Macaca mulatta: one gene and its partners. The protein of the gene in region 3 binds, or shares a complex with, the protein of the main gene of each other region. Links are inferred from orthologs where the notes say so. Each region holds a gene or a part of one and is shown on either strand. Other genes may lie near its edges. The genes, in order: AKAP10, SLC15A2 and PDZK1.

What was found.
Region 1: the proteins of PDZK1 (region 3) and AKAP10 are in contact, whole or in part, in a crystal structure (PDB 3TMH), measured with the Homo sapiens proteins. The link is inferred for Macaca mulatta from reciprocal best matches to the Homo sapiens genes PDZK1 and AKAP10. Residues at the interface, in NP_001188254.1 of Homo sapiens: Asn386, Gly387, Tyr388, Gly389, Phe390, His391, Leu392, Asn393, Ala394, Ile395, Arg396, Phe402, Lys404, Tyr436, Glu437, Val440, Ile443, Gln444; in NP_009133.2 of Homo sapiens: Pro655, Leu656, Glu657, Lys658, Ser659, Thr660, Lys661, Leu662.
Region 2: the proteins of PDZK1 (region 3) and SLC15A2 are in contact, whole or in part, in a crystal structure (PDB 6EZI), measured with the Homo sapiens proteins. The link is inferred for Macaca mulatta from reciprocal best matches to the Homo sapiens genes PDZK1 and SLC15A2. Residues at the interface, in NP_001188254.1 of Homo sapiens: Asn386, Gly387, Tyr388, Gly389, Phe390, His391, Leu392, Asn393, Ala394, Ile395, Arg396, Gln407, Tyr436, Glu437, Val440, Ile443, Gln444; in NP_066568.3 of Homo sapiens: Glu723, Thr724, Lys725, Lys726, Thr727, Lys728, Leu729.

Annotation. Positions count from the first base shown.
Region 1 is NC_133421.1:21,144,094-21,154,838, forward strand, and holds part of AKAP10 (A-kinase anchor protein 10, mitochondrial), read right to left. Parts: intron 5,636-10,745; coding exon 5,551-5,635; intron 4,739-5,550; coding exon 4,615-4,738; intron 3,606-4,614; coding exon 3,469-3,605; intron 1-3,468. UniProt on the Homo sapiens protein: Differentially targeted protein that binds to type I and II regulatory subunits of protein kinase A and anchors them to the mitochondria or the plasma membrane.
Region 2 is NC_133407.1:161,849,870-161,860,614, reverse strand, and holds part of SLC15A2 (solute carrier family 15 member 2), read left to right. Parts: intron 1-3,804; coding exon 3,805-3,897; intron 3,898-5,323; coding exon 5,324-5,423; intron 5,424-7,516; coding exon 7,517-7,607; intron 7,608-7,900; coding exon 7,901-7,978; intron 7,979-10,745. UniProt on the Homo sapiens protein: Proton-coupled amino-acid transporter that transports oligopeptides of 2 to 4 amino acids with a preference for dipeptides. Transports neutral and anionic dipeptides with a proton to peptide stoichiometry of 2:1 or 3:1.
Region 3 is NC_133406.1:119,613,542-119,624,286, reverse strand, and holds the start of PDZK1 (Na(+)/H(+) exchange regulatory cofactor NHE-RF3), read right to left. Parts: upstream 9,252-10,745; 5' UTR 9,216-9,251; coding exon 9,158-9,215; intron 6,815-9,157; coding exon 6,603-6,814; intron 5,832-6,602; coding exon 5,582-5,831; intron 1,710-5,581; coding exon 1,573-1,709; intron 514-1,572; coding exon 318-513; intron 1-317. UniProt on the Homo sapiens protein: A scaffold protein that connects plasma membrane proteins and regulatory components, regulating their surface expression in epithelial cells apical domains.

The DNA of each region.
Region 1 (10,745 bases), on a different chromosome or scaffold from region 3:
CTTGCTACCTTTCTATCTGTCTGCCAACCATCCTTAGTTCTTGACGGTGAACTCTACTGTTGTTTAAAAGCTGTAAGGAGCAGACTACAACTGAGGCAAAGAAACTAACAGTCACATATTTATGGGTACCTATTCTCTGTTCAGGACTTGATAGACAGAAATGAATTTATAGGAAAGGAAGACATGGTCATTTCCCCTAAAAAGCAAGCTGAGAACTTGTATGCACAGAATAAAATAAGAACACATCATCATAACTATACGGCATCAGCAGTAAACATGTACAAATTCAAAACAAAATGGCACTGAGGGTGAGCTGGATGGATATGATCTATTTGGATAGAACAGGACTTACTGATGACTCAGTGTGGAAAGGAAAGGGAGTAACTAATATTGGGAACACAAAGATTTCTACCTTGATAGGGTATAATGCAGCTAATGTTTTGGTAAGCTGATTATGAAACGAATACCAAAAAAAGCATTAAATGCGAGGAAAAAAAAAAGTTCTCTTCCAAGCACTCTAATGGCTTCTATCTCCTATCTCCTGACAGAAATACAAAGGCTGATAAGGCATGACTATGATGATGCATATATATGATACAAAAACAAGTATGCCGGGCACAGTGGCTCACACCTGTAATCCCAGCACTTTGGGAGGCCAAGGTGGGTGGATCATTTGAGGTCAGGTGTTCAAGACCGGCCTGGCCAACATGGTGAAACCTGTCTCTACTAAAAATACAAAAATTAGCTGGGCATGGTGGCCCGCACCTGTAATCCCAGCACTTTGGGAGGCTGAGGCAGGAGAATCGCTTGAACCCAGGAGGCGGAGGTTGCAGTGAGTTGAGATCGTGTCACTGCACTCCAGCCTGGGTGACACAGCAAGACTCCATCTCAAAAAATAAAAAAGAAAAAAAAAGAAAACTCTCCTTTTAAATCAGCATTTTTGTAACAAAATGTGAATCTCCTATGTTGTACTGAATAAGTTGGTCAATACTCCTCCACGACTTGAATGTTCAGGCATTTTACACCAAATTTCTAAATGTAAACCCTTCTTATCTCAATATCTATATAGCAATGTTTCTTATCTAGTATCGTCTACAAACATATTTATCTTTTTTTTTTTTTTTTGAGACGGAGTCTCACTCTGTCCCCCTTGCTGGAGTGCAGTGGCCGGATCTCAGCTCACTGCAAGCTCCGCCTCCCGGGTTCAGGCCATTCTCCTGCCTCAGCCTCCTGAGTAGCTGGGACTACAGGCGCCCGCCACCTCGCCCGGCTAGTTTTTTTGTATTTTTTAGTAGAGACGGGGTTTCACTGTGTTAGCCAGGATGGTCTCGATCTCCTGACCTCGTGATCCACCCGTCTCGGCCTCCCAAAGTGCTGGGATTACAGGCTTGAGCCACCGCGCCCGGCCAAACATATTTATCAAAATAAACACTGGACAGAACATTAAGAACTGCATTCCAGTCCAAGTGCTGCCACTAACTTGTTCTGTGACTCTGAGAAAATCATTACCTCTCTGGGCCTTATTTTCCTTACTTGCAAAATAGGAAAATCAGACTACATCCCTAATCTGGCTATTTATCAGAATTATCTGGTATGTTTTCTAAAAATAAAGATTCCTGGTCACACCTCAAACCTGTGGAATCAGAATTTCTGAGACTGGGTGGGTGGGGGACTGGAAACTTTTTTTTTTTTTTGAGATGGAGTCTCCCTCTGTCACCCAGGCTCCAGTGCAGTGGCACGATGTCAGCTCATTGCAACCTCTGCCTCCTGGATTCAAGCAATTCTCCTGCCTCAGCCTCCCTAGTAGCTGGGATTACAGGCACCCGTCAAAATGCCCAGCTAATTTTGGTAGTTTTCAGTAGAGACAGGTTTCACTATGTTGGCCAGGTGGGTCTTGAACTCCTGACCTCAAGTGATCTGCCTGCCTTGGCCTTCCAAAATGCTGCGATTACAGGTGTGAGCCACCATGCCCAGATTGAAAACTTAAATTTTTTTTTTTTTTTCTGAGACAGAGTCTCGCTCTGTCAGCTAGGCTGGAGTGCAGTGGCATGATCTCGGCTCACTGCAACCTCCGCCTCCCGGGCTCAAGCAATTCTCCTGCCTCAGCCTCCCGAGTACCTGGGATTACAGGTGTGTGCCACCATGCCTGGCTAATTCTTGTGTTTTTAGTAGAGATGGGCTTTTACCATGTTGGCCAGGCTGGTCTTGAATGCCTGTCCTCAGGTAATCTGCCCGCTTCGGCCTCCCAAAGTGCTGGTATTACAGGCAGGAGTCACCACACCCGGCCTGAAAACCTATTTTTAACGAGCTCTCAGGTGATTCCTATGCAGACAGCCCAGCAAGAGCCTGCAGACCAGTGTTCAAGAACCATTGGCCTAGATGCTATTGGCTGTCTTCAAACCCTAACATTTATGGACTTTTCTCTATCCCCAAGTTACCCCTTTACCATTTGCTTAAGGATACAAATAACAAATAACTTTTTTTTTTTTTTTTTTTGAGAAAGGGTCTCACTCTGCTGCCCTGCACAGGGTGGAGTACAGTGGATCACAGCTCACTGCAGCGTTGACCTCCCAAGGCTCAGGTGATGCTCCTGCCTCAGGCTCCTAAGTAGCTAGGACAAAAGGCGCACGCCACCACGCTCAGCTAATTTTTGTATTTTTAGTAAAGGCGGGGTTTTGCCATGTTGCCCAGGCTGGTCTCAAATTCCTGGGCTCAAGCAATTCATCCGCTTCTGCCTCTCAAAGTGTTGGGATTACAGGTGTGAGCCACCGTGCCCAACCACAAATTATTTTTTTTACAGAGTAAGAAAAGTTAAATGAAAAGAATACCATACGTTACAGAGCTGGCCACAAGCTCATCACTTGCCTGATCAGATATTTTCAATTTTGTTCACTGTATGATTTTTCTATCCTCTCATTTTCAGTGAAAACTAATAAAAAAACTAATTCATTTAATAACGTGGCAAGGCAGATTTATACAGAAAGTATACTATACCCATAAAGAGGCATTCAAGGTCCCTTACAATCTATTCCAATTAGTACCAGCATCCTCACATGTATTCCCCAACCCTTTGATTATCTCAACTCAAGTTTCTTGAAAGTGCCACCTTCCGCCAAGTCTCCATGGCTTCTGTGCCAATGCCTTTGCCTAGAATGTTGTTTCCTGCCTTCTCTGGGTAGCAAAATTCAATTCATTCTTTAGGATCCAAACAAAATCTCTCTTCTGGGAAACACTGCTTGAACACTACCACTGCCATCCTGTTTGCCCCACACACACCTCCCCTTTCCCAGCAGAAACTTTTGTTCTAAGAACCCCCAAAGCTTTACAAACACCATACAAAAAGTAGCTTTTATGCTGCCTCCTGTGAACTCCTTGACAACAGAGACTGAGTTTTTGCATCTTTATTTCCACAAAACATATCACATGCTCAATAAGTATCTGCTGAATGCATCTATCAATATAACTCACTTGTCATATAAAATCATGGCATCATTCTGTGCCTCCTGTCCATCGTATTGGCCCTTTTTGGCAGCAAGCTGAGACTGGAAGTTATCTGCTGCCAACCAGAATTGTAAGATATTCACTGCATCCTCTTTTTCCATGTACTAGGAAGAAATAATACACAAGGGAAAATAAGACTATAAACAGATTTCTCTCACCATCTCTAATCTATAAGCTCAAATATTAAAATACAGGTCATAAGCAAAAAACAAAAAGATCGACTTCTTCAGTTAACACCTGTCAGCAAGTTACAGTCATTTGAGATTAAAAAGTTTTAAAGTATTTAGAGGAAAAAAAAAATTAACAAGAAACAAACACTACACAACTGGATGCAAACTTTTAGTGAACTAGAGTAAAAATTATACTAAATTGGATTTGTGGTTCCTTACCAGCAAACATATAAAGAGTAAACTAACCAAATATTTTGTATCTGATCATTTCCACCATTCCATGAGGACATATTAGCCTAAACAAATTGTTGGTTTAAACTTATAGCAAAGAAAGGCAGTGGAAAAACAGATCAACTGAGTACCTGTATTCTTGCAAAGAGGCAGAATCAAGTGTCTAAATTACTGCTTTGTGAGACCAGGAATCCTCTTTCTGCTTTCTGACAAAATAATTTCACTTGTTGAAGCCTAACAAAGAGCATTATACTAAACTGTATGCCTCAAAAAGATTAATACACTCATTGTCTGTTGCAAATGCTTCTTCACTGGGCAATCCTATCAACTGGCTAAAGTAAACATGATGAGCATAAGAAAAAATTTACTACTTTTCTTTTTCTCTTCTGAAGTCTGGTCTGCAATTTATGCCCTGGAAGTTTCAAATTCTGTGGTTTTAAAATAGCTCCAAACAATTAAAAACATGCACTCTCTGGCATGCAGTAGCTTAATCAGGTTTTTCAAAATTAGAGTTATTTAACACATTGAGTTTTCATGTTCTCTCTAATATGTTATTAAATTACTCTTGCTATCAGAAACAACTTGAAACAACGATAAATCTTTTTGGAAATGACTTGGCTCTTCTGGGTTATTTCCTATAGACAGGGCCCCAGCATTGATAGTTAGAGGCTGGAATGCTCGAACAGAGTGTGAAAGGAAATGCAGACTTTACCTCAGAGAAATAAAAGAGGGCTGACTCACAGAAGAGAATGTCAGCCAGGTAAACAGTTCCACTGGTCAGCACTTCAATCTGGTATTTACAGAAATGGTGACTTCGCAGAAACTCACTAAAGTGCCTGCACATGGACAAAAGGGAAAATTTGAGGGAACGACCAAGGAAAGAGTTTAAGTGGGAAAAATATACTCTTTCCATACTGTCCCCATTGTATCTTAAAGGCCTAGGTCAACACTATCTCACTCCCCACGGTGTCATTCCTGATTCCTTTACCTGTATGTAATCTCTCCCACCTTTTTATGACTTTGTAGTTCTCCCCTGACATTTAACACATGCCACTTCATATTACAGTAACCAAAGAACATGCCCTATGTCTTTTATTAGGTTGTAACTTCCTTCAAGACTGGTACTATGCCTAACCATGTCTTACACAGAGCACTCTTTTGATAAATGTTAAGTGAAAGAATGAATAGATTTTTTTTTAAGGGCACACAGCAGTAATAAATCTAAAAAACCTCTGGAGCCATTTCAACAAATCTATGTGGATTTAGTTATATAGCATCGATTTAGCTTAAAGCCTAACAAATTAGGAGAGCCATCTGAAGACAGGCATTATTTCAATAAATAAACCAATTCTAACAGTCATAATCACTACGGCCTCAATCACTCCCCAAATGATTTCATAACTGAAAACAAATTATTTTAACTTAGGAAATACTAACATTGAAAATGAAAATTAAAATTTTAAGAGTTCACATAATTTATATTTAAAAGAAACTATTAATCAAGATAGAGTATGCCTTATATGTTCCTGTAAATATCCAAAATATTTAAATCCTCAAAAATACTTCGTTTTTAGCTAAGTGAAGCCCATTCCTAACAATGAACCCAAATTCCCTAGGATGCACAATGTGAAAATATGAACTAACTTACTCTTGCTCCATTGCACTAAAGACTATGGACTGTGCCAAAACGAAACAGTTGGGATCCACCTGTCCATCTTCTCCACAAATCTTTGCTGTAAAAGAAGTCGTAAATAATTAAATTGCCACTAAATTCAAACTATACACACTTGTGAATCAACTTGGGAGTTAACAGCATAGGCATGTAAATTAAGAGGTTTTAAATAGAACTAATAGAAAATACAGGTAACACTTGACCTTGATGTAGAAAGTCTTTTGAAGTACATATGCAAAAGCAGAGATCAAAAGATTTAACAACATAAAATTATTTCCTAGACATTGAAACACTCCAAAAACAAAATACAAAGGCAAACAAACAGAAAAAAGATTTGCAGCATGCATGACAGTTAAAAGATTACTATCATTAAAATACCAAGAGCTCTTATAAACTACTAAGAAATGTCCCAAAAGAAAAATGAGCAAAGGACACGACAACCCACAAAGGAACAAACATAAAATGATCAACGTGAAAAGATACACATACTCACTAGTAATCAGATCAGAATAAGGAGGCACTGCACCTTTTGTCTAGTAAACTGGTACAACATTGTTTTTAATAATATGCATACTTGAGCAAGGGCACAGGAAAACTGACACTAGTGTTAGTGGGGATATAAACACCTTTTTCTGAAGGCAATTTGGCAGTTTCTAGCATAGCTTTAAAAACGAACATACCCTTTCAATGAGCAATTCTATTTCTAGGATTGTAGCTTAAAAAATTATGTATTTGTGAAGTCATCTGTAAAAAAGTTTATCAAAATGTTATTGGTAGAAATTTTAAAACATGAAATGTGCTAAAATAAGGAACTGCCTAAATAAACTGCAGCAAAACAATAAGCTGTTTGGCTAACTGTTAAACATGGCTGGAAAAACCATATAACATGATGCCTAGTCTCACTTTGTGTTCATGACTTTAGTGGGACCTTCATGAAACCCAGGGATCATACTAGTGTCATGGTCTGTTCACATTCACTTTCCTAGACAATACAAATCTGTGATATTGTGAAATATGTTATTTACTCTTTGCCCAGTTTTTTTTTTCTCCCCCTTTTCTTCTGAGACAAGCTGGAGTCAGTGGCACGATCATGGCTCACTGCTGCCTTGAACTCCCGGGCTCAGTGATCCTCAGCCTTCTGAGTAGCTGGGACTACAGACAAGAGCTACCACGCCTGGCCAATTTTTAAGTATTTTGTAAGGGGGTCTCACTATGTTGACCAGGCTGGTTTTGATCTCATGGCCTCAAATGATCCCCCTACCTCAGCCTCCCAAAGTGCTGGGATTACAGGCCTGAGCCATTGCAACTGGCCTTTTTAGCCAGTTTCTTAGCATACAGCTCCTAAAATTCATGAAATCTCTGGATTCTTTTGAATGCTAATGAGATGACTAATGGCAGGTGGCCTCTAAAGAGCTTTAGGATGAGGGCTAATCACCAGAAAGACCAAGGCAGAATTACAGGGTTGGGACTTTCAGCCCTACCCACCAACCTCCCAGAAGGAGGGGACTGAAGGTTGAGCTGATCACCAATAGCCAACGATCAATTATGCCTATATAATGAAGTTTCCACAAAAAAACCAAAAGGACAGAATGGGGAGGGGGGCTTCTGAATAGCTAAATCTGTAGAGGTTCTTGGAGGGTGGTATGACCTGGAGAGGGCATGGAAGCTGTGCCCCCTCTCCCATACCTTGCCCATGCATCTCTTCCATCTGCCTGTTCAATCTGTATCCTTTGTAATATCCTTTATAATAAACGGGTAAATATAAGTGAAGCATTTCCCTGAGTTCTGACAGCTGCTCTAGCAAATTTATTGAACCCAAGGAGGGGACTGTGGGAACTCCAATTTATAGAAGGCCGGTCAGAAGCACAGGCCACAACTTGGGCTTCAGACTGGCATCTGAAGTGGGGGCAGTCTTGTGGGACAGAGTCCTCAATCTGTGGGATCTGATGCTATCTCCAGGTAGATCGTGTGAGAACTGAACTGACTTAGAGGACACCCAGTTGGAGGGGTCACTGGAGAATCATCTGCAGAATTGATAGTTGACGGGGAAAACCCCCACACAAGTAGGGTCATGGAAAGGTTCTGTTTTGTGAGAGTTCAGGAGTTTTGTTTTGTTTTGTTTTTCTACAGTACATCTCCTTTCTCAAATATTCAACACCTCTTTCTCCTGTTCTCTTTGCTGAGAACTTTGCTTCCTGCTTCAGTGAGAATATAGAAGCAATCAGAAAATTATTTCCATCATCTCTCACATCTTTCAACTCACCTGCATCTCTACCCATGTACTGCATTCTTTCCTGTGACTCCAGATAAACTGTCTTGCTCCCATCTAAGTAATATTTTATGTGAGCACTAGAATTCATCCCTTTTGCCTCCAGACTTCTTTCCTGTAACAACTGTCCCCTCTCCTACATCAACTTCTCCTTCACTACTGCCTCATTCCTATCAGCTGTGTGGACTGCATGTTATACATGTATACCTGTTCGTATGCTGTAACACACCTTACATGCTTATAATACATCTTACCTTAAAAACAAAATTAAAAACCATTGCCCCCCTCCCCGCCTTTTTTTTTGAGACAGGGTCTGGCTCTGTCACCCAGGCTGAAGTGCAGTGGCATGATCTTGGCTCACTGCAGCCATGACCTCCTGGGGCTCAAGTGATCCTGCCACCTCAGCCTTCCTAATAGCTGAGACTACAGGTATGCACCACCATGCCTGAAAAATTTTTGTAGTATTATTATTTTTTTGGTAGAGATGGGGTTTCACTATGTTGCCCAGGCTAGTCTCAAACTCCTGGGCTCAAGTGATTCAACCTCCCTGGCCTGCCAAAGTGCTGAAATTACAGGTGTGCACCACTGCCCCCAATGCACACTTGATTAACATCACCTTCCAGCTCAACTTTAGAGGAACATGCCACATAACAGTTGTCAATACTCGCTGGTTCCACTCCTCCTATTCTCTCTTAAGACTCCTCCAATTAAGTTTCGTCTAAAATGGCCCACTGTAATCAAGATAACTAGTGTACGATGGGTTGTCAAATCCATTCAATTCCAGTATTCGTCTTACTTATCTCAGCTTCATTTCCTCCCAGAAACATTTTTCTTACTTGGCTTCCTGAAGAAAACTACTTCTTGATATACCATTGTCATAAGAGGGCCTAAGTGTCCTTTGCTAGTTCTTCTCCATCTGACAGAATGCCAGGGCTCAGTCCTTAGACCTCATCTTCCCTCATTACACTTACTCCCATGGTAATGTTATCTAGTATTGCAGCTCTAAATCCATCTATATGCTAATGACTTCCAAACACGTGTCTCCAACCCGGGCCACTGCCATAAAATCCTAATGTAGGTGTCCAATTACCTACTTGACATTCACCATTTGGATGTCTAAAACCAAACTCCTGATTTTCCTCATAAGCCATTACTCCTACAGTCTTTTCATCTTATAAATGACAACCCTACAATTCCAGGTATTCAGTTTTTTAAAAAATGGAGTCATGCAGTCAGGTGGGGTGGCTCATGCCTGTAACCTCAGCACTTTGGGAGGCCAAGGTGGGTGGATTACGAGGTCAGGAGATGGAGACCATCCTGGCCAACACGGTGAAACTCCGTTTCTACTAAAATACAAAAAAAAAAAAAAAATTAGCTGGGGGTGGTGGCAAGAGCCTGTAGTCCCAGCTACTTGGGAGGCTGAGGCAGGGGAATCGCTTAAACAAACAAAAAAAATGCAGTCATGCTTTATTCCTTTTTTTCCCTCTCATACTACTCACTTCCAAACCATTAGCAAATTCTGTCAGCTGTACCTTCAAAGTTTTTTAAAATTCTACCACTTTAAAGATTTGTGGAAGATGAAGGAGGTAGTGGAAGTATAGCTTCTGGATCACTCTAAATCCTCACATAAAAACAGTAATTAGAAAGCAAAGCCAAAAACCCAAGGATAACATTTTAAAAAAGACTATGCAAGTTGGATACACAGTAAGTGCTGAAGTGAAGGCTCCTTTGAATAAAACTCACTTGAAGGACAGCTATATTCAAATAGTACAACTGCAGCAAGAGGAGACAAATAATTTGGACAGGATTAAGAATGAGGCTCAAGGAGGAAAAATGACTTGCCTAAAGCCATACAGGTAATTAACATCCTAAAATATATAATGATAGACACTGGGATAGAGGTTTTCTCAAATCCCTTGATCACAAAATGTTACCAACTTGATCCTTAAGCAGACTTTTCCTTCATGGGATTACATCATCATTAATCTGATTAAGCTTAAGTAAAAGAAAGAGAGTCGCAGTGTGGTTTCATTTTTAAGTGTTTTATTTGACTTGAAACTCTTTCCTTTTCATCCTCACACCAGTGAGGCTATTAACTGGTACAGACTCCCCTCAAAAAAGTCACTAGCCAACCAATTCTTCAAACAGGCAAACTCTAATCAGTCAGAACATCCCTGTTGTATTACTAGGAAAAGCTGGTCTAGCGACAATGGTAGCAGCAAATTCTCACATAAAAACAGAGCAACAACACAGAAAAACTCAAATCTCATGACAACATCTGTCAGCAAAACTCAGTGAAACACCACCCCTTAAATACAAGCAGATAGGGATAAGCCACCAACAGCCACCAGGCCTATGTTACAGCTGTTATAGGTATCTGTCTGGGAGAAAGAAAAGGAAAATGGAGGCAACATGAGATGGACCCCACAATAGCTAACTGGAAAGTACAGTGGGCCAATTTAAGAAACACAGCTGAGACTAACAGGGGTCTTGCTGTCTCCAGTAGTGAGTGAGTGCAAAGTACCCACAGTAAGATTAAAGAAGCCCCACATTGGGACAGACCTGCTAGAAGTGCAAGAACAAGTTTTATTACATAAATCACAAATACTAACTTTTTTGAAAAATAAAAATACATAATATTAGGACTTATGAGAATGTAATATTTATTGAACGAATAAATAAACCTCTTTTATCTGTGAATATATGTTCACCTAAGGTCTTCCTGATAAAACACAGTAAAAGCTTTCAAACTATTTTGCTATAACTTATACAGAAATATATTTGTTGAATCAGCATACACATACATACATGTATATATAATGAAAACATTTTTCTGAAATGATGTTTGTCCTTACTACTCTGAGACACTTTGATTTTTTTATTCTAGTGTGTATATACACAT
Region 2 (10,745 bases), on a different chromosome or scaffold from region 3:
TGTATGAGGTGTCAGTCAGTCCCCACTGAGAGATGTCTCCCAGTTAGGCTACATGGGCTTCAGGGACCCACTTGAGGAGGCAGCCTGTCCTTTCTCAGAGCTCAAAAATCATGCTGGGAGAACCACTGCTGTCTTCACAGCTGTCAGACAGGGACGTTTAGGTCTGCAGAAGTTTCTGCTGCCTTTTGTTCCACTATGCCCTGACCCCAGAGGTGGGGTCTATGGAGGCAGCAGGCCTTGCAGAGCTGTGGTGGGCTCCATCCAGTTCAAGCTTCCCTGGCTGCTTTGTTTACCTACTCAAGCCTCAGCAATGGCAGATGCCCCCTCCCCCTGCTAGGCTGCTGCCTTGCGGGTCAACCTCAGACTGCTGCACTAGAAGTGAGCAAGGCTCCGTGAGCATGGGACCCACTGAGCCAGGCGCAGGATATAATCTCCTGGTGTGCCATTTGCTAAGATCATTGGAAAAGCACAGTATTTGGTTGGGAGTGTCCCGATTTTCCAGGTACAGTCTGTCATGGCTTCCCTTGGCTAGAAAAGGGAAATCCCCCAGCCCCTTGTGCTTCCTGGGTGAGGCGATGCCCCACCGTGCTTTGGCTCACTCTCCATGGGCTACACCCACTGTCCAACCAGTCCCAGTTAGGTGAACCACGTACCTTAGTTGGAAATGCAGAAATCACCATCTTCTGCATCGACCATGCTGGGAGCTACAAACCGGAGCTGTTCCTATTTGGCCATCTTGGAGTTATTATGCTTTTGAATGTCTTCTCCACACTTATCTTTTCTCTTTCTCCCAGTGGGTCTGCATAGTATGTCCTTTCTCCTCTTTTTTGTCTGATCTGAACTGACCTTCTTTTCTTCATGCAAGGTCTCTTCCTCTTCCATCACTACACACTCTCAACCTCTGTATATACCTCTTCTCGGTTCCTAAGCTCCTACTAAAAATGGCTGTGGCTTTTTATATTCTTATGGTGAAATAAAATATATTACTTCTTTCTCTTCCATTTCCTTTTTCCACATTAACTTGTTTGTGATAAAAGCAAAGGAATGCTGGGTTATGAGTTAAATATAGAAGCTCTACACCTAACCCTAATACTAATTAAAATGTCACTTTGGGGCCAGGTGTAGTGGCTCATGTCTGTAATCCTAGCACTTTGGGAGGCTGAGTTAGGAGGACTGTTTGAGGCCAGGAGTTTGAGACCAGCCTGGTCAGCATCGCAAGACCTCATCTCTACAATAAAAGAAAGTCACTGTTTATTTATTTTTATTTATTTATTTAATTTATTTATTTTTTTATTTCTTTGAGATGGAGTGTCGTTCTGTCTCCCAAGCTGGAGTGCAGTGGTGTGGGATCTTGGCTCACTGCAACCTCCACCTCCTGGGTTCAAGTGATCTGCCCATCTCAGCCTCCCAAGTAGCTGGGATTATAGGCACGCACCACCATGCCTGGCTAATTTTTGTATTTTTAGTGGAGGTGAGTTTTCACCGTGTTGGCCAGGCTGATCTTGAGCTCTTGACCTCAAGTGATCCATCCACCTCAGCCCCACAAAGTGCTGGGATTATAGGGGTGAGCCACTGCAACTAGCCCAAAAGTCACTGTTTAGAAATGTCATTTGACCTGTCTGGATTTCAGTTTCTTGATTTGTAAAATTGAAGGATTAGTGAAGTCATCCTAAAGCATTTCTGTGTCCTGTGGCTGGGATTACAATGACCCTAATATCTCATTTGAAATGCAGAATTTTCAGGTCTCTTGACTTCTTGCTCCTCCTATTAGTTTCCTGCCGTTAGTTTCCTCTCTGATATCCTTCATATCTAAACTATTTCCTATGAGGGCTTATTTGTTTTTTGTTTTGTTTTGTTTTTTGTTTTGTTTTGTTTTTATCTATAAGGTTGCCTATTTTCCTCCTAAACCACTTATACTTCTGTCATTCATTTAGTCCAAGCTTGTCCAACCTACAGCCTGCAAGCCACATGGAGCCCAGAACAGCTTTGAATGTGGCCCAATACAAATTTGTAAACTTTCTTAAAACATTATGATAATTTTTTTTTTTTTAACTCACCAACTATTGTTAGTGTTGGTGTATTTTATGTGTGGCCCAAGACAATACATCTTCCAATGTGGCCCAGGGAAGCCAAAAGATTGGACACCCCTGATTTAGTCCATCAATTCGATACTGATCTTACTACCCAGACTTTTATCACTTTGGCTCAAACTCCTTTTTTTCCCCTCTATGATGATCTAAGATAGATCATCTGTTTGGGGTTCATGATAGCTAGCATTTTTTTTCTGTTCCTTTTTATTCCCTTTCTTGCTATTTATTCTTCTTATTACAACAAGGAGAACCTTTCTCTAGAAGATGTTACAAGATCTTTTGGGAAAGCTTGTCCCCGCCCCTGATGTTAATTAGTCCTACATTAGTCACCTAACTTCTTTTTTTTTTTTTTTTTTTTTTTTTTGAGATGGAGTCTTGCTCTCTCACCAGCCTGGAGTGCAGTGGCACCATCTCTTGGCTCACTGCAACCTCTGACTTCCTGGTTCAAACAATTCTCCTGCCTCAGCCTCCCGCATAGCTGGGATTATAGGCGCATGTCCCTATGTCCAGCTAATTTTTGTATTTTTGGTAGAGATAGTGTTTCACCATGTTAGTCGGGATGGTCTCGATCTCCTGACCTCGTGATCCACCTACCTTGGCCCCACAAAGTGCTGGGATTACAGGCGTGAGCCACCGTGCCCAGCCTAGTTACCTAACTTCCTGCCCCCTACCCACCAGACCCTTTAAGGTCCCTGCCCTAGAAAGCCGACCCAAGGATTAGGCACTTAGAATGAGAAATCCACATCCTGAGAGTTTTGACATCTCCGGCCTCTCTTTGCTATCTTTATTCCATTCTATTCTCTGCATTCCACATTAGCATATAACATCTTAAAAATTGCAGGTGTAAACTGTATAATTTCCAAGGTTCATTATAATGCTAACATTCTACTTGTATGTAGGAATGCTGGTGTGGTAGTACACATAAGGAATATATGTTGTAGTGTGCCATATTCCAATGTGTGAATCTCTCTATATGTTCTTAGTGGAGTTCCTTATTCTTCTACTTTCTATTTGCTGTTCAAGTTCTTTGAGAAAACAATACAACAGAATGTTCCTTCCAACTGCATGGTTTTCATAACTGGACAGTCTATTCTAAGTCCCTGGCTCCTTTCTTACCCTTGTTAACTTGTCCCTGAAGAAACTGTGGTGAGGATTACAATTAATCCAAGAATCCAAGTTACCCAGGCTGAACCTGAGAGCTTTTTACCTCCCCAGTGCTTCTTTAATTTTGAGGAAGTCGTTGGGTTAGCCATTCCTGTTTACTTGAAGTTCTTCCTTGACCCCTCTTGCTCCCTACAGCAAAAGACATTCCTTGAGAAAAACGCCTAAAGTCCAAATATCCTCTTCTACTGGTTCTCCCATTTTAAAACATTATTACTTTTGCTACAAATCCACCTTGTTCTTGTCATGTCTGTACAAAGTAGGGTTTCTCTGTGTATGTGTGAAGTGAGCAGGTAGAAGGAAAGGGGAAGGTGGGTATAGGAAGGGAACTTGAACACTACAGAGTGAAGAATTCCACTCCTTTTTCCTAGTCTGTTTACTTCACTCACCATTATTGTCTCTATTTGGATTTCTCAGATAATTCTTTCCTCCTCCACTCCTTCCTCCTCCTCCTCCATTTATCCCCACACTGAGAACAGTATGAACCCTAAGTCTGTATTATTCAAGTCTCTCAGTTCTGGTTTTAGACTGACTGATTTAGCTCTCTCAACAGGACAATCATCTATCTCTCCTTGGTGTATGTGCTTGGCCATGTGATCAAGTCCTTGGGTGCCTTACCAATACTGGGAGGACAAGTGGTACACACGTGAGTAAAACCATGGAATCAACTAAACTGCTTTTCTCAAACATTCGTTACAAATGATTTTCTGTTTTCTTACCAGAGATGTCCCTTTATTTCCAATCTATAGTTTTACTACAAAAGAGGTTAAGAAAAACAGTCTTATAACCAGTTGAACTCTTTCCTGCTTTATCTGAGCTCATCTGTTTTTGGGACTTGTAGAATGCCTAGTTAGTATCCTCTTCATATGCTTGAAAATAAACAAAACCTTCACACCCTACATATTCCCTCACCTTTTTATTCATCCATGCAACTATACTTTGCATGGATGAATAAAAAAAGTCTATAAAAAAAAGTCTATAATGTTTCCTTTTAATTAATTGTAGAAGTCATACTCAAAGGGTTAAAAAAAAGTCTATAATGTTTCCTTTTAATTAATTGCAGAAGTCATACTCAAAGCTTCGAATATTTACATTTATGTGTAGTTCCATATATTTCAGTTGCTATTGATGTTTATGGGATCAGAGGCATTTGATAAATTCTGATGTCTGTTTGTTCAGTCAGTAGAGAGGATTACAGCTGTTCACGAAGCAGTTTATATGTATTCATGTTATAATGCGCCTGTGTGCCTGTGTACATGTATTTATCCTATGAGTTAGAAATTTTGTTTGTTTGTTTGTTTTTAGACAGAGTCTTGCTCTGTTGCCCAGGCTGGAGTACAGTGGGGTGATTTTAGCTCACTGAAGTCTCTGCCTCCTGGGTTCAAGTGATTCTCCCACCTCAGCCTCCCGAGTAGCTGGGATTACAGGTGCCCGCCACCACACCTGGCTGATTTTTGTATTTTTAGTAGAGACGGGGTTTTACCATGTTGACCAGGCTGGTCTTGAACTCCTGACCTCAGGTAATCCACCCGCCTTGGCTTCTCAAAGTGCTGGCGTAGCCTCTGCACCTGGCCTTGATATTTAATAAATACTACTTTCTTATTGGTGTCCCGTCAAATATCTTTGACACTGTTGCTATTAGCTATGATGAATTTGAACATTTTATATATTTTTTTTAAATTTTGGTGAGGATATGTGAGATCAGGGTCCTTAAAAGGTCTTTCTGTTGAAGTACTCCTTTGACTAAAACAAGATTGGGAACCAGTGTGTTAACTTTGGAGTTCCTTCAGTATCTGTTTCTATCGGATGCTCGTAAGGGGTAAATGGAACTACCAGGGATGAAATCTTCCCACGTAATGCATACTTTCTTGCAGAAGCCAAAGGATCATAAATATGGTAAGTGCCCATGAATACCTCCTAGGAATAAAGGCAAATGGAAAGTACCCATGGGGTAGAAATGTGAAGGGAATCTTTGCCCTTGTACACATTTTTTCCCCTCTGCAGCTATGTAGTCCATCTCTACAGGTGCATTTAGTATCAACATGGTTGGCATTCTCACCTCTCCATTTCAGAGTCCTATCATTAGTCGGCCTGAGTCTAATAGCTTTGGGGACAGGAGGCATCAAACCCTGTGTGGCAGCTTTTGGTGGAGACCAGTTTGAAGAAAAACATGTAAGAATCCTGTTATTTTGTATTTTCAAGAATATAGAGCCAGCATTAACAGTGGTACCTGGCAGGTAGCCATTTGCCAAGATTGAAGTAATCTACTGATCAGATCTTACCTGAGCAGTTGTATTCAATGCTGGATACTGGTCATTAATAGTGAGGAAAACTGAAACAGTTTCAAAGGAAAGAGACCAGGGTGGTAGATTAACTAAAAGGCATGTCTTATGAGGAAAGGTTGAAGGAAACGGGGATGGTTAGTCTGGATACGAACTAAGGAGAATACTATAGCTGCTTATAGATGCTGGAAGAATGTCAGTGATTAAAGCTGAGACCAATGAGTGAAAGCCTCCAAGAAGCCAGTGTTTTGCCTGATGGGTGGAAAAACTTCAAACAATTGTTAAGTTTACTCTAACTTGAGGTGTTTAGGAAGAGATATGGTAAGCACTTTGGGAATGGGAGGTGATGAGTAGTATAGAGATGATTTAAGCATCTTATTTTGAGATTCCATGAAAGGGGAAAATGACCAATTGCAAGGAAACATAATGAATGTCTATAGATGAATTTCCCTGGCTGATCATTCCCTCTCTTCCTAAATACTTTCCATTACCAGTAGTGAAAAATAAATGGGCCTCTATGAGAAAGCAGTGACAAATAGGCAAGGAAGTAGTCTATTTCTAGATCTTTCAACATTTCTGGCTTCCTCACTTTTGTTTCCAGTTTTCAGTTTTGTCTGTCTTCATGTATCCATTCCGTCTTCTCTGTTTATCTTTTTTCCAGTTTCTCTTTTTCCCCCTCACCACTTCTCTCTCTCTCTCTCTTTCCCCGCCCCCCACTCTCTCTCTCTCTCTTTCCTTTTCCCTCTTCTACCCTGATATAATGCCTATTATCTTTTTCTGCCTCTGCTATGCTGTCCTGTCTTCTAGTGTTTTTCCCACCTTTCAGGCCATTTGGGTTATTTTATACTCTTTATCTGTCCAAGAGTCCATAGATCATAATTGCTTGCTGACTTTGGAGAAAGAACCAACTTTTGGCAAGTGGGACCCTATGTATGATGAACTATACAAATTAGATGAGTGGAATAAGGTTTAAATTGAAACCAGGAGAGGAAACAAAACACACTATAAATAGACAATGGGGAAGGACTTGTTGTTCTAATGTGGCAGGGAGAGATCTGGGGTGTCAGAATGAAGCATGTCAGTGTATAATGAATGAAACATCAGCAACTTTATTTGAAAGTTGTTTCATTTGAGAACTGCTCCACAAAGATATTTCACTTAGTAGGACGAATCCGCCTCCAGGTTTCTACTAGCCACTTCTAAGCCTGCTGATTTCTTTTTAGACTCTCTGGCAGATCTCCCTTAAGCACTAGGTGAACTATCCTGCTTCATTAACAGTTGACTCTACTGTCCTATGTTCTGGTACTATTCCTACCATACACTCCTACCACAAAATCTATTATTTAACTAAATCAGGCATTCACTTAGTTAATACAGTCAATAAACATTTATCGAGTCCCTAATATATGTCAGATGCTGTGCAAGTTACTGGGGATTACAGAAATTAGTAAGATAAAATTTCTGCTCTAAAGAAACTCACAACATACTGACAAAACAGACATTTATGGGAGGCAGAGGCAGGAGAATGGCTTGAGCCCAGGAGGCAGAGTTTGCAGTGAGCTGAGATTGCGCCACTGCACTCCAGCCTGGGCAACAGAGTGAGACTCCATTTCAGAAAAACAAAAACAAAAACAAAACACACACACACACACACACAAATGCAGACATTTAATGCAAAGACATTAATATTCAAATAGCTATATACAGGACACAGTAGTGGCACTGAAGACAGGAAGATTATTTTTAACCTATGCAAAGGGAGGAAAAGAATGTTAAAGCTGCTCTGGAGTTTGAAAGGTGAGTAAATGATTGGGGTCAGCCAGCCATGTTTTTAAATATCTATTAATAATATGAAATTCAGGTATTATGGAAGCAATATCTGAATCTTTCTCTTTGTATGTACCTTCAGCTCTGAATCTGAACATGGAATGGGGCTGGAGCTAGGGGACACATTGCACTGATGATTTATCCTGTTTGTTTCAGGCAGAGGAACGGACTAGATACTTCTCAGTCTTCTACCTGTCCATCAATGCAGGGAGCTTGATTTCTACATTTATCACACCCATGCTGAGAGGTTAGGATTTTTTCTGATGGGAAAAAGCTTTGCTCTGGTCAGCCAAAAAGCTGTTCAAGGCTTTCTCCTGTCCATTGTCTCCTTTTATAAGAGCTTGATAACCTGTGAAAATTTATTTTAGTCTTGATTTGTCTTGCCCAAAGGAAGAATTATGGATTGGGTGATGGGAGGAAAGAGGATGGTTATGTCTATTCTGCAAGCTCAGGTTTATTTGACAACCTGAACTTGTAGAATAAAACATCAAATATTCAAGACTCAGAGTTACTTTCCTCCTCACATCCCATTTTCTTTAGGAGATGTGCAGTGTTTTGGAGAAGACTGCTATGCATTGGCTTTTGGAGTTCCAGGATTGCTCATGGTAATTGCACTTGGTAAGTTCAGTGAAGCAAAGGAAACTAGTAATCATTGATACCTGTCACATGTAAAGCATCATGTAGGCACTTTACACAAGCTGTTTCATTCAATCCTCACACTAGGGCCTATTGGGTAACAGTTATTGTAAGGGTTTCCCCTCAACTTTGGAGGTAGATTCTGAATGAAGTCAGAAACTTTAAGAAAAGTGTCCAAGGTTGCATAGATGCTTTCTGGGGAGCCTTAAAAAAGATCAAACTCTGGGCCAGTCAGGGACTTGGGCATTTCTTAGTAACTCAGGTCATTCTAATGTATACTCAAGGTGGAGATCCACTGCTCTACACTATAATATATAGGGAAGCAAGGAAGATAACCCTCTTTCAAACTAGTTTACTTCATATGATACTTATTTATCTGGTAATTGGAAAAGATTTTAAATTCTCTAAGCCTTTTAAAACAGCTTCTAGGTTTAGCTATTTCTGCCCTGCTCTGTAGTGCCCCCCTGGAGTGCCCCCAAAGAGTCTGCCCTTGAGTAAAGAGAATAAGAGGAGGTGAATAAGTAGGTGAAAATTAATGCAACTTAAATCAAGTGGCGTTCTTTTTATCCCTGAGAACCCAGTCCTGGAAGAGAAGAGGGATATGGTGTTCCTTATTTTACACAGCCTGAGGGAAAACTTGGGCATGATTATTTCTAATCATTGACCTGGAAACCTGTTCTCACTCTGAGCCTCAGCGTGACACCCCCCTGGAAGATATCCAGTGCAAACCCATAAAGAGCTCAACAGAGGAAAAACAGCCCAGAGACTCAATGTTCAGTGTATTATCTAACAGGGAGTGGATGGGAGGGTGGTGATAGTAGTACTCAGAATTCCCAATGCCAAGGAAATTTATTATAGGTGAGCTGTGATAATATATTCCCTACTTCCTTCTTCATTCAAAGCCAAATATTTTCCCGAATATTTGCATGATAATATTTACATAATAGAGTAATTATGAAGATAAAAAAGAGACGATATAAATGAAATGTTTTATAAATTATGAAATGTTAAGTGCTAGCTGTCATTGTTAGTCAGCAGCTTCAGTTTTCTGGGTACTAATCGATAACTCAATTCTCTGATCTTTTACTATAATTAATTTCTTTTTTCTTTTTTTTTTTTTTTTCTTTTTTGAGACAGAGTCTCACTCTGTCACCCAGGCTGGAGTGCAGTGGCATGATCTTGGCTCACTGCAAGCTCTGCCTCCTGGCATTCTCCTGCCTCAGCCTTCCAAGTAGCTGGGACTATAGGCACCCGCCACCATGCCTGGCTAATTTTTTGTGTTTTTAGTAGAGACGGAGTTTCACCGTGTTAGCCAGGATGGTCTCGATCTCCTGACCTTGTGATCCACCTGCCTCGACCTCCCAAAGTGCTAGGATTATAGGCATGAGCCACCGCGCCCAGCCAATTAATTTATTTTTTCATTCAATCATTTATTTAACCAACATTTAATGAACCTGTTGTGTGCCATATTATGTGCTAGGTATTGGGATCACACTGGTGAATTGGATACCTGGAGAGTTCATGTTCCCAAAGAGCTATATAGTTCAGTAGAGAGAGGAAGGCAAACAAGTAAAAGGAATTTACAATATAGTATGATCAGTATTTCCCAGATCAATATAGTATGATCTAGGAAAGTACAGAGAGAGCTATGGGAACTACATAAAAGGAATGTTTAATTAAGACCTTGAGGGACCAGGCACAGTGGCTCACACCTGTGGGAGGCCGAGGCAGGAGGATTGCGTGAGCTCAGGAGTTTGAGACTATCCTGGACAACATAGCATGACTCCATCTATACAAACATTTAAAAATTAGTGGAATATGATGGCACACACCTATGATCCCAACTATTTGGGAGCTGAGATGGGAGGATCGCTTGAGCCTGGAAGGTCAAGGCTGCAGTGAGCCATGATTGTGCCACTGAACTTCAGCCTGGGCAACAGAACAAGCCCCATCTCATAAATAAATAAATGAATAAAATAATAAATAAATAAATAATACTTTGGGGGTTGTAAAAAGTTTGCCTAAAGAAATGACATTTAAGGTGAGACCTAAGGGCTGAACAGCAGTTAATCAATAAAGAAATTATAAGTGATGCAGAAAGAGGACACAGTAGCTGTAAGACAAGAGGCTGAGAAATAGCATGACATGTTTAAAAGCTTTAAAGGCATTCGGATTACTTAAAGCATGAATGAGAATGATAAAGAGGAGAAACTGCCAGAAACCAGATAATGAAGGGCCTTTTAAACCAGCAAGGAATTAGAACTTCATTGTGAGGGAGAGTGGGGAACTCTCAAAACATTTTAACAGATGAATAATTGCTAGATTTTAATTTCTCAATGATGTTTCTATAATGTAGAGAAAGGATTGTGTTCAGATGAGGCAAGGATAATATTTATTTTGATTACTGAATTTTTTGATATTTGCTTAAATTTAGTGCTTGAGATGAGTGCCTCACTCAGTTCACCCTAATCTGGCCCTGGTTGAATTAACAAACCTTAGAATGGTTACATATGTTAAGTAAGGGAGAAGATAAGTCAAGGTTTAATGTAGTGTTCTGAACCTTGAGCAACTGGGTAGGCAGTGGGGTCATTAACTGAGATACTGAGGAAAAGCCAGTTTGGGGCAATGTTGATAAATTTAGTTTTGAACATGTTGCATTTTATATGTAGTTGGAATATTTAATTGGAGTTACCAAACAGTTATTTGGAAATACAGGATTAGAGCGTAGAAGAAATGTTTGCACTATAGA
Region 3 (10,745 bases):
GTATTTACATCACAAAAACCAACAAATGCTACCAATTTGTATTCCACCACCACCCCCGCCCCCCGCCAGAGAGCCAGCTTACCAGGATACCATTGCCCAGATCCCAAATTCTGCCTTATCATAATGCTATGGAAACTTTTGATGCCCAATATCAGAGCCTCATGTGACATAGACTCTGACCCAGCTGTGCCTTCTAGTTTCTTGCTGTGTCCCTCATGCATCTGGTTGGAAGTTGGGAGTCTAATGGAACTCTGGAGTCAGACTGGGATGAGGAATTTGTTGGTTACACTGCCAAGTTTCCTGCTGTTGTACCTTACCTTTCTGTTCTGAGCCTGCCCTCAGATAGAAACCATAACCATTGCTTCCTTTCTTCATCTCCACAATTCGGGGCTGGTGGGGTAACAGTTTGAAACTAGCCGTTTCTCTTTTGAATTGTATCTTCTGCTCAAGGTGATGCTTGTCAGTTTCTTTGTCCACCAGCAGGAACATGACACGGCTTCCTGACTTCTTCACCTGTAACAACACACACAGATGAGGAACAATATCAACCCCCAAGAACAATGCTGGGGGATAAGAACGTTTCTGTATAAAGGCACACAGTCTCTAGGTTCAACAAAAGATAGGGGATAGAAGGCCTGAGTTTAAGCTGTTACACTATGTCCTGCCAGCTAACTGATATGTATCTATCTCCACTTCTAGAGTTGTTTTCCCTTATTTAAATATGACCCACCCACATAGGTACTAACTGAGCCCAAGTAGGAGCTAGAATTCAGAAAACCCATAAAGGTACCTAGATAAAAGCTAGAACAGGAGTTTGGAAAAGAAAAGAAAGTAAGAGTCCACGTCAAAAAATCATTCTACAAAGAGAAGAGAAGGTTGGTCAATTTTTAAGGTTCCATATGACCTCAAAGGAAAATCTCAGTTATATCCCACTTCCTATTAAAGCATTTCAGTATTATCGGCTCAACAGTGAATTTATTGTAAATTCAGAGGGCACAGTGACACACGCCCATAATCCCAGACTTTGGGAGGCCAAGGCGGGCAGATCACTTGAGCTCAGGAGTTCAAGACCAGCCTGGCCAACATAGTGAGACTCTGTCTCTACAAAAAAAAAAAAAAAAAAATACAAAAATTAGCCAGGCGCAGTGGTACACACCTGTAATCCCAGCTACTCAGGAAGCTGAGGTGGAAGAATCATCTGAGCCCAGGAGGCCGAGACTACAATGAGCTGAGATGGTGCCACTACACTCCAGCCTGGGTAACACAGTGAGACCCTGTCTCAATCAGACAGTTCAGAGGGGGCTCCCAATCCGATACAAACAAGATCCAAAAGGTAAGGTTAATAGTTTTGTAGACCTTATGTGAAATTAGGGAAGGCTTTATTCCAAAACCTGTATTAACACTGCTTATACCACTAGTGAGAGTCTGTTCACCCTTAATATGAAGGGGCAACTCAGCTGGATATTTTTTCCATCATAAACTCATGCTGTCCCCTACCACCCCTGTCTTTCTGTCACCTCCAATGAGAATAGAGTGGAAGATAGGGCAAGAAAAGTACCCTTTGGGGCATACCTTTTCAACCACTTCCTCGTGGCTGGCATCCTCTACATTCTCTCCATTCACTTCAATCAAGTGATCATCAGCCAGAACTCCAGCTTTCATAGCCACACCTTGAGGTGTAATATCAGTCATGTACACCCCCTTTTTACCTGGAAGAGAGTAGGGGTGAACTCCATGTGGAGACAAAAGTGACTCCCTCTTGGATGGTAATCTGCGATGTTGACTTCTGATTAGCCCCAGTCCTGTGAATGCCTCCTGATTCCTACTTCATTTACTGTCCCTAGTGTAAGAACATGTCAACCTTAATGTTACCACACAAATTACAGGCCATGATGCATATAGCATTCTTGGCTATTGCAGACGGCTGCCTTCGATTGCCTTGCTGGAGCATATATACCCTTTCCCTATGGCATATCAGCCTTGGGTCTGGGGAGTAACACTGCAGAGATCTACATGTTTTGTGGCTGTCCAAGACCATGCTTCTGTTCATAAGTTCCCCTGATAAATTCCAATGTACCTACAAACTGGATTTGCCTGCCTTGTTCTTTGGTTTCTGAGCTCCTTCAGCATTCAAGGACTGCTTTGCATACACCACCCTTTCATAGAACACTCCATTGCACGAAAACAAAAAACAAAAAACAGAAATCCAGTGGTAAAGACTTTTCTCCCAATAATGTGAAACTAGAACTTCCAATTTCAGAGCTAACTCAAACAGCCTTTGGCTTCTGATCTAAAATCACAGTTATAGCTCCTGGCACAGAACTTGACACAGCCTTTACTCAGTGGGTATTTGTTGATTTGAATAGAATTTCTGAGGTCAGCTAAATGCAAAGATGGAATCTTGGGTGGCCTTGGCCCCTTGTACCAGAAAGCGCGAAACCATACCCACACTGCATTATTGTGTCTATATGCCCTTTCTTTGCATTTGTAGAATCAGAAAGCATCTTTCCCATTCCCTCCTCTTTATTTCGTACTATTATATTAGCCATCGTATGCTGATGGAGTCATCTCACCAATGTAGGCTAACAAGGACAGGCACAGGAGGGAGGGAAGAACATGAACGCATTTAGGTGGTGAGATTTAGGTGCTACTTACAGAAATGCTGTCAATTCTTCAAAGATATTAATAGAGCAGTTCCCCCTTAACCATGGGGGATTCATTCCAAGACCCCCAGTGGGAGACTGAAACTTTAGATAGTATTCCGAAACCTGTATGTTTTTTTTCCTGTGCTTACGTACCTATGATAGTTTAACTTATAAATTAGGCACAATAAGAGATTCGCAATAACTGAGCTAATCTTAGCAACCTCAGCATACAATATTTTTTCTTTCCTTATTAAATCGAGAACTTTTCACTTAATAGAAGAGCACTTTACAGCCTTTTTTTTTTTTTTTTTTTTTTTAAACAGATGGGGTCTCGTTCTGTCACCTAGTCTGGAGTCCAGGGGCACAATCTTGGCTCACTGCAACCTCTGCTTCCCCGGTTAAGCGATTGTCCTGCCTCGGTCTCTCAAGTAGCTGGAACTACAGGTGCCTGCCACTGCACCTGGCTAATTTTTGTATTTTTAGTAGAGATGGGGTTTTGCTATGTTGGCCAGGTTGGTCTCGAACTCCTGACTCCTAACCTCAAGTGATCTGTCCGCCTCAGACTCTCAAAGTGCTAGTATTACAGGCATGAGCCACTACGCCTGGCCACATTACAGCTTCTCTTTGTCATATCTGAACTGCCAGCATCACAACTGTTGCATTTTGGGCTTTTTTTTTTTTTTTTTTTGGAGACAGAGTCACACTTTGTCACCCAGGCTGGAGAGCAGTGGCGCAATCTTGGCTCACTGCAAGCTCCGCCTCCCGGGTTCACGCCATTCTCCTGCCTCAGCCTCCAAGTAACCGGGACTACAGGCGCCCGCCACCGTGCCCAGCTAATTTTTTGTGTTTTTAGTAGAGACAGGGTTTCACCGTGTTAGCCAGGATGGTCTCCATCTCCTGATCTCGTGATCCGCCCACCTCGGCCTCCCAAAGTGCTGGGATTACAGGCGTGAGCCACCGCGCCCGGCCTGGGCTATTGTTTTTTATTGATACATAACATTTGTACATATTTGTAGGGTGTGTGTCATGTTTTGATACCAAGAGCATATAATGAACAAATAATGGTATGATATTTAGGACATCCATCCTTGAACATTTATCATTTCTTTGTGTTGAGAATATTTCCAATCTTCTTACAACTATTTTGAAATGTGCAATACATTGTTGTTAACTATAGTCACCCCACTTTGCTATCAAACGTTAGAACTTATTCTCTCTTTGTGTTTGTACCCATTAACCTAGCTTTCTTCATCCCTGCCCTACCCCACATACACTCTTCCCAGCCTCTGGTATCTCTCATTCTACTCTCTACCTCCGTGAGATTCACCTTTTTTAGCTCCCACTTATGAGAACATGTGATATTTTTCTTTCTGTGCTGGGCCATTATTAAGCAAAATAAGGATTATTTGAACACAGTACTTTAATACCGCAACAGTTGACCTGATAACTGAGTAGTGAGTAGTAAGACTAACAGGCAAGGAAGCACATACCACACGGAGGTGCTAGACAAACAGAGGATTCATCTCCAAGATGGGGCAGGACAGCACAAGATTTCATTACCCTACTCATAATGGTTCACAATGCAACTATTATGTATGGAATTCTCCATTTAATATTTTCAGACCACAGTTGCCTGCAGGTAAGATAACTGAAACTATGGAAAGCAAAACAGGATAAGGGGGAACTCCTGTATTTCAACCTAGGCAAGGGATCGCTTGGTAATGACTACATAAATCACTTGTAAGGAATGACAGTAACTTAAATTCTGCTTCCTTAAACATTCAGCATTTCTCCTGCCACCTTGTTATATATTTGTCATGAAGAAACCATTTTCCTCATAAAGCTAACCTAAACTGTTCACCATGTGCGTTAGCACATGAGCCAGATGAGTAGAATCTGAATTATGATTTTCTCTTTTTTTACCACTTTACTGATAATAGGCTTCGAAGACATGCCAAGCTTCCTTTGACTACCCACACCACTGTGTTTAATAGCTGACCAACCTGAGAAATGCCCCTTATCGCGAGTTTCCATCTCTTGGTACAGGTTAAATAAGCCTTATAAACTATTGTGAATTTACCAACTGGTCTGCTGCTGTACCACTTGCCAAATCATGACCTACCACCAGTGCTTCTCCAGCCCCAGAAAGAATGTGGGCAGAGGCAACGTTCAAGAAGGAACCGGCCAGCTAACACAGCCCCTCTGGTTCCAACCAATACCCCCAGAGCCATGGTCAACTGAACACAGGTTAGTCTGCACCTCTGAAATTCTAGAAACAGAACTTCTAGTGCTTCCTGATGGTCAGGGTTTCTCAAATCACTCTGTACCTCTTAGCCAGAGCTCAAAGATGCACCTCAGAACAGGTGGGGCTGAGCCACAGCTGAGGATACTATCAAAATGTTACAGGAGGGTGGAGATTTTTGCAGTATTCTCAGCAAAGGTAACAGTGCCTGGCACATCAGTAGGTGCTTAAGATTTTGTTGAATAAATGAATGACTATCTGGGCACCCAGATTTAAAAAAGATACCAATCTTACTCAAAAGTAGCTATTATGAAGACTCTCATTTTTCTTGCCTCTTATTCCTCATTCTCCTCTTCATTTTCACCCTAAGAGGGCTAGAAGCATCAATGCTCTGACCCCCTGACCTCAAAGAGTCCTCAAGTGTCAGCCTGACAAACACTCAGGGACAGGAGTGCCCAGTGCCCCCCACCCCCACTGCTGTCCAGTGTCCCTCCCCAATTGCACAACTGTGCAAGGCAAGGGAAAGGGCAGGGAGGGAGGGAGAGAGAGAGGGAGGGAGGAAAGCTGTTGCAAGCTATCTAAAGCAACTGAAAAGTCAAAGAAGAAAAGTCATTAACCAATAGCATCTTTGTTCTGGAAGCCTGTTGTCTGTGCCCTGCCCCTGCCTCCCCCCACTCCCCCCAAAAATTCTCACCTTGGACAGTTTTCAGAGAGAAGCCATAGCTGCCTCCCTGCTTCACGAGGTAGCAGAGCCGGGGCTGGGTCCAAGTTTGCACGCCTCCATTCATCACAGGGGAAAGTGTATTATCACTCAAACCTTGCTCCTTCTGACTTTGACCCAACTCTTTCAAGTCCACCTGTGTTTTCATTGCTTTCTCATAGGAATCCCCATCCAGAACTAGTAAAGTCACTGAATTCCCACTCTTTCTGACCAGATCCACAACCTAGGAGGGAAGAAGAAAAAATAACTTTAATAACCCTCTATCAACTGCCAGAGGGAAATGCTGACCATGTGGCTCCATATCTGGCCCTGGAGATCCTGCTAGTTGACCCCTGACACCCAAGTAGAAGCAGGTAGTTCCTCAGCCACCTCCATCCCTGCCTTCCCGAGATCCAGGTGCAGATTAGGCTGAGCTTCTGGCACTGCTGGAATATAGAGCATGGTCCAACCCCAGCCCAGAGGCTTCTTACAAGGACTGTCCCTTTCTAGAGAGGAGCACTGCCCTGGATTGTAACCGTACCTCCTGAGTGCATGGCGACAGCACAGTGTAAGGAAAAGAGCATGCTTTTGGAGTCAGGCAGAATAGGGTAAGGCCAGACTCTCCCATATATCCTCTGCATGAACATGTTAGCAAGCTAAGTTATCTGTACTTAGCTTCCTCATCTGTGAGATTGTAACATATACCTCACAAGGTCATGAGGAGGACTGAACAAGATAATGAATATAAAATTGCCTAGCACCATTTTTGGTATGTAGTGAACATGCAATTCATGTTAGACCTGATGCTATTCAAATCCAAGAGTAATGTGTACAGTTCTTGGTTCTTCATAGGGGACTTGATTGGCCAACATAAGGTACAGCAATAAAGGTGTCCTGCCTTGCCAGTGGCAGCCAGAAAAGAACCAAACTCTACTGACCCCCAAAATTATAATCAGCAGAGATGGTGTTGGGGCTGAAGAGATCCTGGAAGAGGAGCCCCAAATGTCTCATTCACCTGCGTATGTTCTTCTTTGTCCACAAAGACACCATTGATCCTAAGAACTCGGTCTCCATCCTGAAGGCCAGCCTTCTCTGCTGGGCTACCCTTCTCAACCACCCGGACCAGGTGGCCCTCGGTGTCCTTCTCAATTCGCAGGAAGAAGCCATAGTTTTGCCCTTCTTGCTTGGACAGTTTACATTCTCGGGGGTTGAAGGTGGAGGTCATTTCTGTGATGAAAAAAAATTAATAAATCCATGGAAAAGAGAAACTAATTGGAGTGAGAACCCCATCCTCCATCTCCTATAATTCTATTTTCCAATCATCAAATCTAGACTGCTTGGGTACACGCTGGGGGCACAGGAGGACACCTTCCAGAACTTGCTAATGATTTCCAAATCTGTTTCCCCAAGGACAACATTTTTACTAGAGTTTCAGACCCACATATTTTACTGGGTACTGGATACAGATGCTGCCATTTCAGTATCTCCAACCAAACTCCTCTTTGTCCTCTGACCTAAAGAAATTAAGTCCAAATATATAAACCCAAAACTTTATGACAAGCCCACTCTCATTCAAACATTTGAAGAGCTTTTCAAGTTCAAGGAATCAGGGCTAAATCTGTAGACAAGACGGACCCATACCTTGCCTGTCCTATTGGGGAACATAGTTACATTCCCATAACCACACGTGGTGAGTGTCATGCTGGGGAAGAACGCAGTGATAAGGGGGAAAATAACAAAGGGTCTTGGGAATAGGGAGCGGGATGGGAAGAATTAAGAAACCTTCCTGAAGGAATGACACTTCCAAGAACTGAAGGATTAGTAGAAGCTTGGTGAGGTAGGACACGACAAGGAAGAGCTTAAACCATTAAAAAAGGCAGGCGCAGTAGCTCACTCCTATAATCCCAGCACTTTGGGAGGCCAAGGCGGGCAGATCACAAGGTCAGCAGTTTGAGACCAGCCTGGCCAATATGGTGAAACCCCATCTCTACTAAAAATACAAAAATTAGCTGGGCATGGTGGCGGGCGCCTGTAGTCCCAGCTACTCAGGAGGCTGAGGCAGGAGAATCACTTTAACCTGGGAGGGGGAGATTGCAGTGAGCCAAGATCATGCTACTGCACTCCAGCCTGGGCAACAGACTGAGACTCTGTCTCAAAAAAAAAAAAAAAAAAAAAAAAAAAAGGCCGGGCGCGGTGGCTCAAGCCTGTAATCCCAGCACTTTGGGAGGCCGAGACGGGTGGATCACGAGGTCAGGAGATCGAGACCATCCTGGATAACACGGTGAAACCCCGTCTCTACTAAGAAATACAAAAAACTAGCCGGGCGAGGTGGCGGGCGCCTGTAGTCCCAGCTACTCGGGAGGCTGAGGCCGGAGAATGGCGTGAACCCGGGAGGCAGAGCTTGCAGTGAGCTGAGATCCGGCCACTGCACTCCAGCCTGGGCTACAGAGCGAGACTCCGTCTCAAAAAAAAAAAAAAAAAAAAAGCAGAGACACCAGGCCTTGGAGGTTGTCCAATATGTTGAAGATGCACTAGAAAAGACTGTTCCAGCCCCTGAAGTCTCTAGCCAGAGCAGAGCAGAGATGCCCCATAGAAAAGGGATTCCTGTGGCTAGGTCGGGACTCTCCCTCCCAAACGCTTTGTCACCCAGGCTGGAGTGCAGTGGCGCAATCGCCGCTCACTGCAGCCTCGAACTCCTGGGCTTAGGCGATCCTCCCACCTCAGCCTCCTGAATAGCTGGAGCTACAGGCGCATACCACTATGCCCTGCTAACTAATTTTTTTTTTGACAGTGTCTCCCTTTTTTGCCCAGGCTGGTCTCAAACTCCTGGGCTCCAGCGATCGTCATGCTTCAGGCTCCCAAAGTGCTGGAATTACAGACACGAGCCACATGCCTGGCCTGAAGCAGCTTCTATTTCTATTCATCCTGCCCCTCCTGTTGCCCCATTGCAGGGGCAAGGTCCTGAGCCATAGGAGGAAGACAGGACAAGTGTAAAACCACAGCTGGGGTTCCAACACCCAGTTATGATTAAGGGAAAGACTTCTGCCAGTGCCGCCGACACCTGCTGGCTGAAAGCTTTTTCTTTTATAGGAGAATAAGAACAGGGGCCAGAACAGCAACAGGCTGATACAGAAGGCAGAAGGCTCGCGAGAGAGCCCTGGAGTCCGCTCTTCACACCACCTGCAGGGCAAGCCCTCAAGTTCCTCTCGTCACAGTTCCCTACCTACAAATCAGAATAAACCACCTGTCCCTTCCCTCCTGGAGGGACAAGAACAGATGACCATACAGGATATGGGGGAGGGTGGAGAATAGGCCACAAAGTACTCCATGCACCCTAGAAGCCAGGCCGTGGTGATTGAAGATAGCCATCCCTGACCATGCCCACGGAGACGTACAGTACAAATCGGACAGAAAGCCCTCGACTGCCCAATACCAGGCCTCTCATGCGGTCTCCGCAAAGTCGGAAGCCCATGCTGCCAGTGGCACAAGTGACTAAGCAGCCATGAAAGAAACAAACAAATAGACTCCCCATCGAGCATCAAGGCAAGAAAACAGCGAAGCCACACTCACCAGTGGTCAACACCAGCCCCTTGGGAGAGCTAGGCAGCTCTGCCTTATCAAAAGCCATGACCAGCTGCCAGGAAAACACCACTCTGGGATGAAAGGAGAAAATATGGCATCACCAGAGTTGAGTCACATCCAGGCACTTGTTTGTGGCCCATTCCAGCTCCCTCACCTTTCACTCCTCTTTCTGCTGATCCCAACCTGCGAGCATCAGTTTAGTTTCAGCTTGATTTCACATCTACGTCCAAGCTCACCTGTAGATCCCTACACCTTTCCATTTCATAGGGCCAAAAGACCTCAAAAGAAAAAGAATCAGAAAAGAAAGACGAGGTCTCAATGTCCTTTACGGGGAGGACCAGACAATAATTACATAAATGAATAAGATCATTTCAGATAATGATACTTGCTGTGAAGAAAATAGAATGTCAAACAAAACATGCGAAGCCCTCTTAAACTTGAGGGTAATTATTGGAGAACCTCATTCAAATCCTACACAATTTAAAATATGTCCTTACAATCCGAATAAGGACAACAGATATTATGTTTTCATCAAGAGATGAGGCTGTTCGTGATCAGCATGTGAATGCTTATTTCTAAGGCACTCACACCCAAGATTCAGCAATCTCACGCTCTGCAGAGTCAACCACAAACTCTTAATCTCTATGTTTGTAGGCCAAGGATAGAAAGTGAAACCTCCTCACTAGGAGAACCAGCCCTGTGTTTGGAGAGAGGGGAAGAGACAAAGGTTTTCCTATGTCTCACTGGAGACCTGTGAGCCTGACACACAAGGAAACACAAATCACTGTTTCTTGGCAGAATCTCAAGTTGACATTTTTGTTTGGAGTTTTCAAACAGTCAGATGGTGATCGCTCAGATCTGCACCTATGGCTCTGAAGCCTCAAGCATTCAGGGTCAGTTTCTTTTTTGGCTGTTTGAAGCCAGAAAATCAAAGCCACTTTATACCAATAGGGAAATGCTACCATACTGGTGGGGAAACAGCTACTGCTGCAAGCCCCCGACTGCCTCCTGCCACTATGTGCTCCCCACCACACAGCCATTAATGGATTGACGCTGTGTGTCCATCGATCTGCATGTACCCAGGCCAGACTGATTAAATATTTACACCCCCAGCTGCACCAATGGGGAAAGCAGACCCAAACCTCAAAAGCCTGGTCTTACATGGGACCCTAAAACTATTTGTTTCCTTTGCCATCTTGCAAAAAGAGGATTCATCTAGGAGCCAAGAGACTCCTGGAGGTGGGCTCTGGTCCACCTCCAGGCCTGGTTCTGTCTAGGCCATATCCTGGTGTTACTCTGGCCCCTAATTCAGAGCTGGGGTATGTCTCTTTCGCAAGACTCTGTCATTGCTCCATGATAAGGATGCCTGGGCCTCTGGAACACAGGGCCGAATTAGGAAGGATCTTTGTATTTAAGGATACTCTTTCCTACTTCTTCAACCCCACCTCATCTTCTGCCTCCTGAGAAAATCTGGAGATCAGACCCCTCTGGTGGATAGACACAGAAGAAGTGAAGGCCTATGGATTTCTCGACTATCATTAGCAGCAATCATCTGAAGCTGGAGTCCATTAAATCC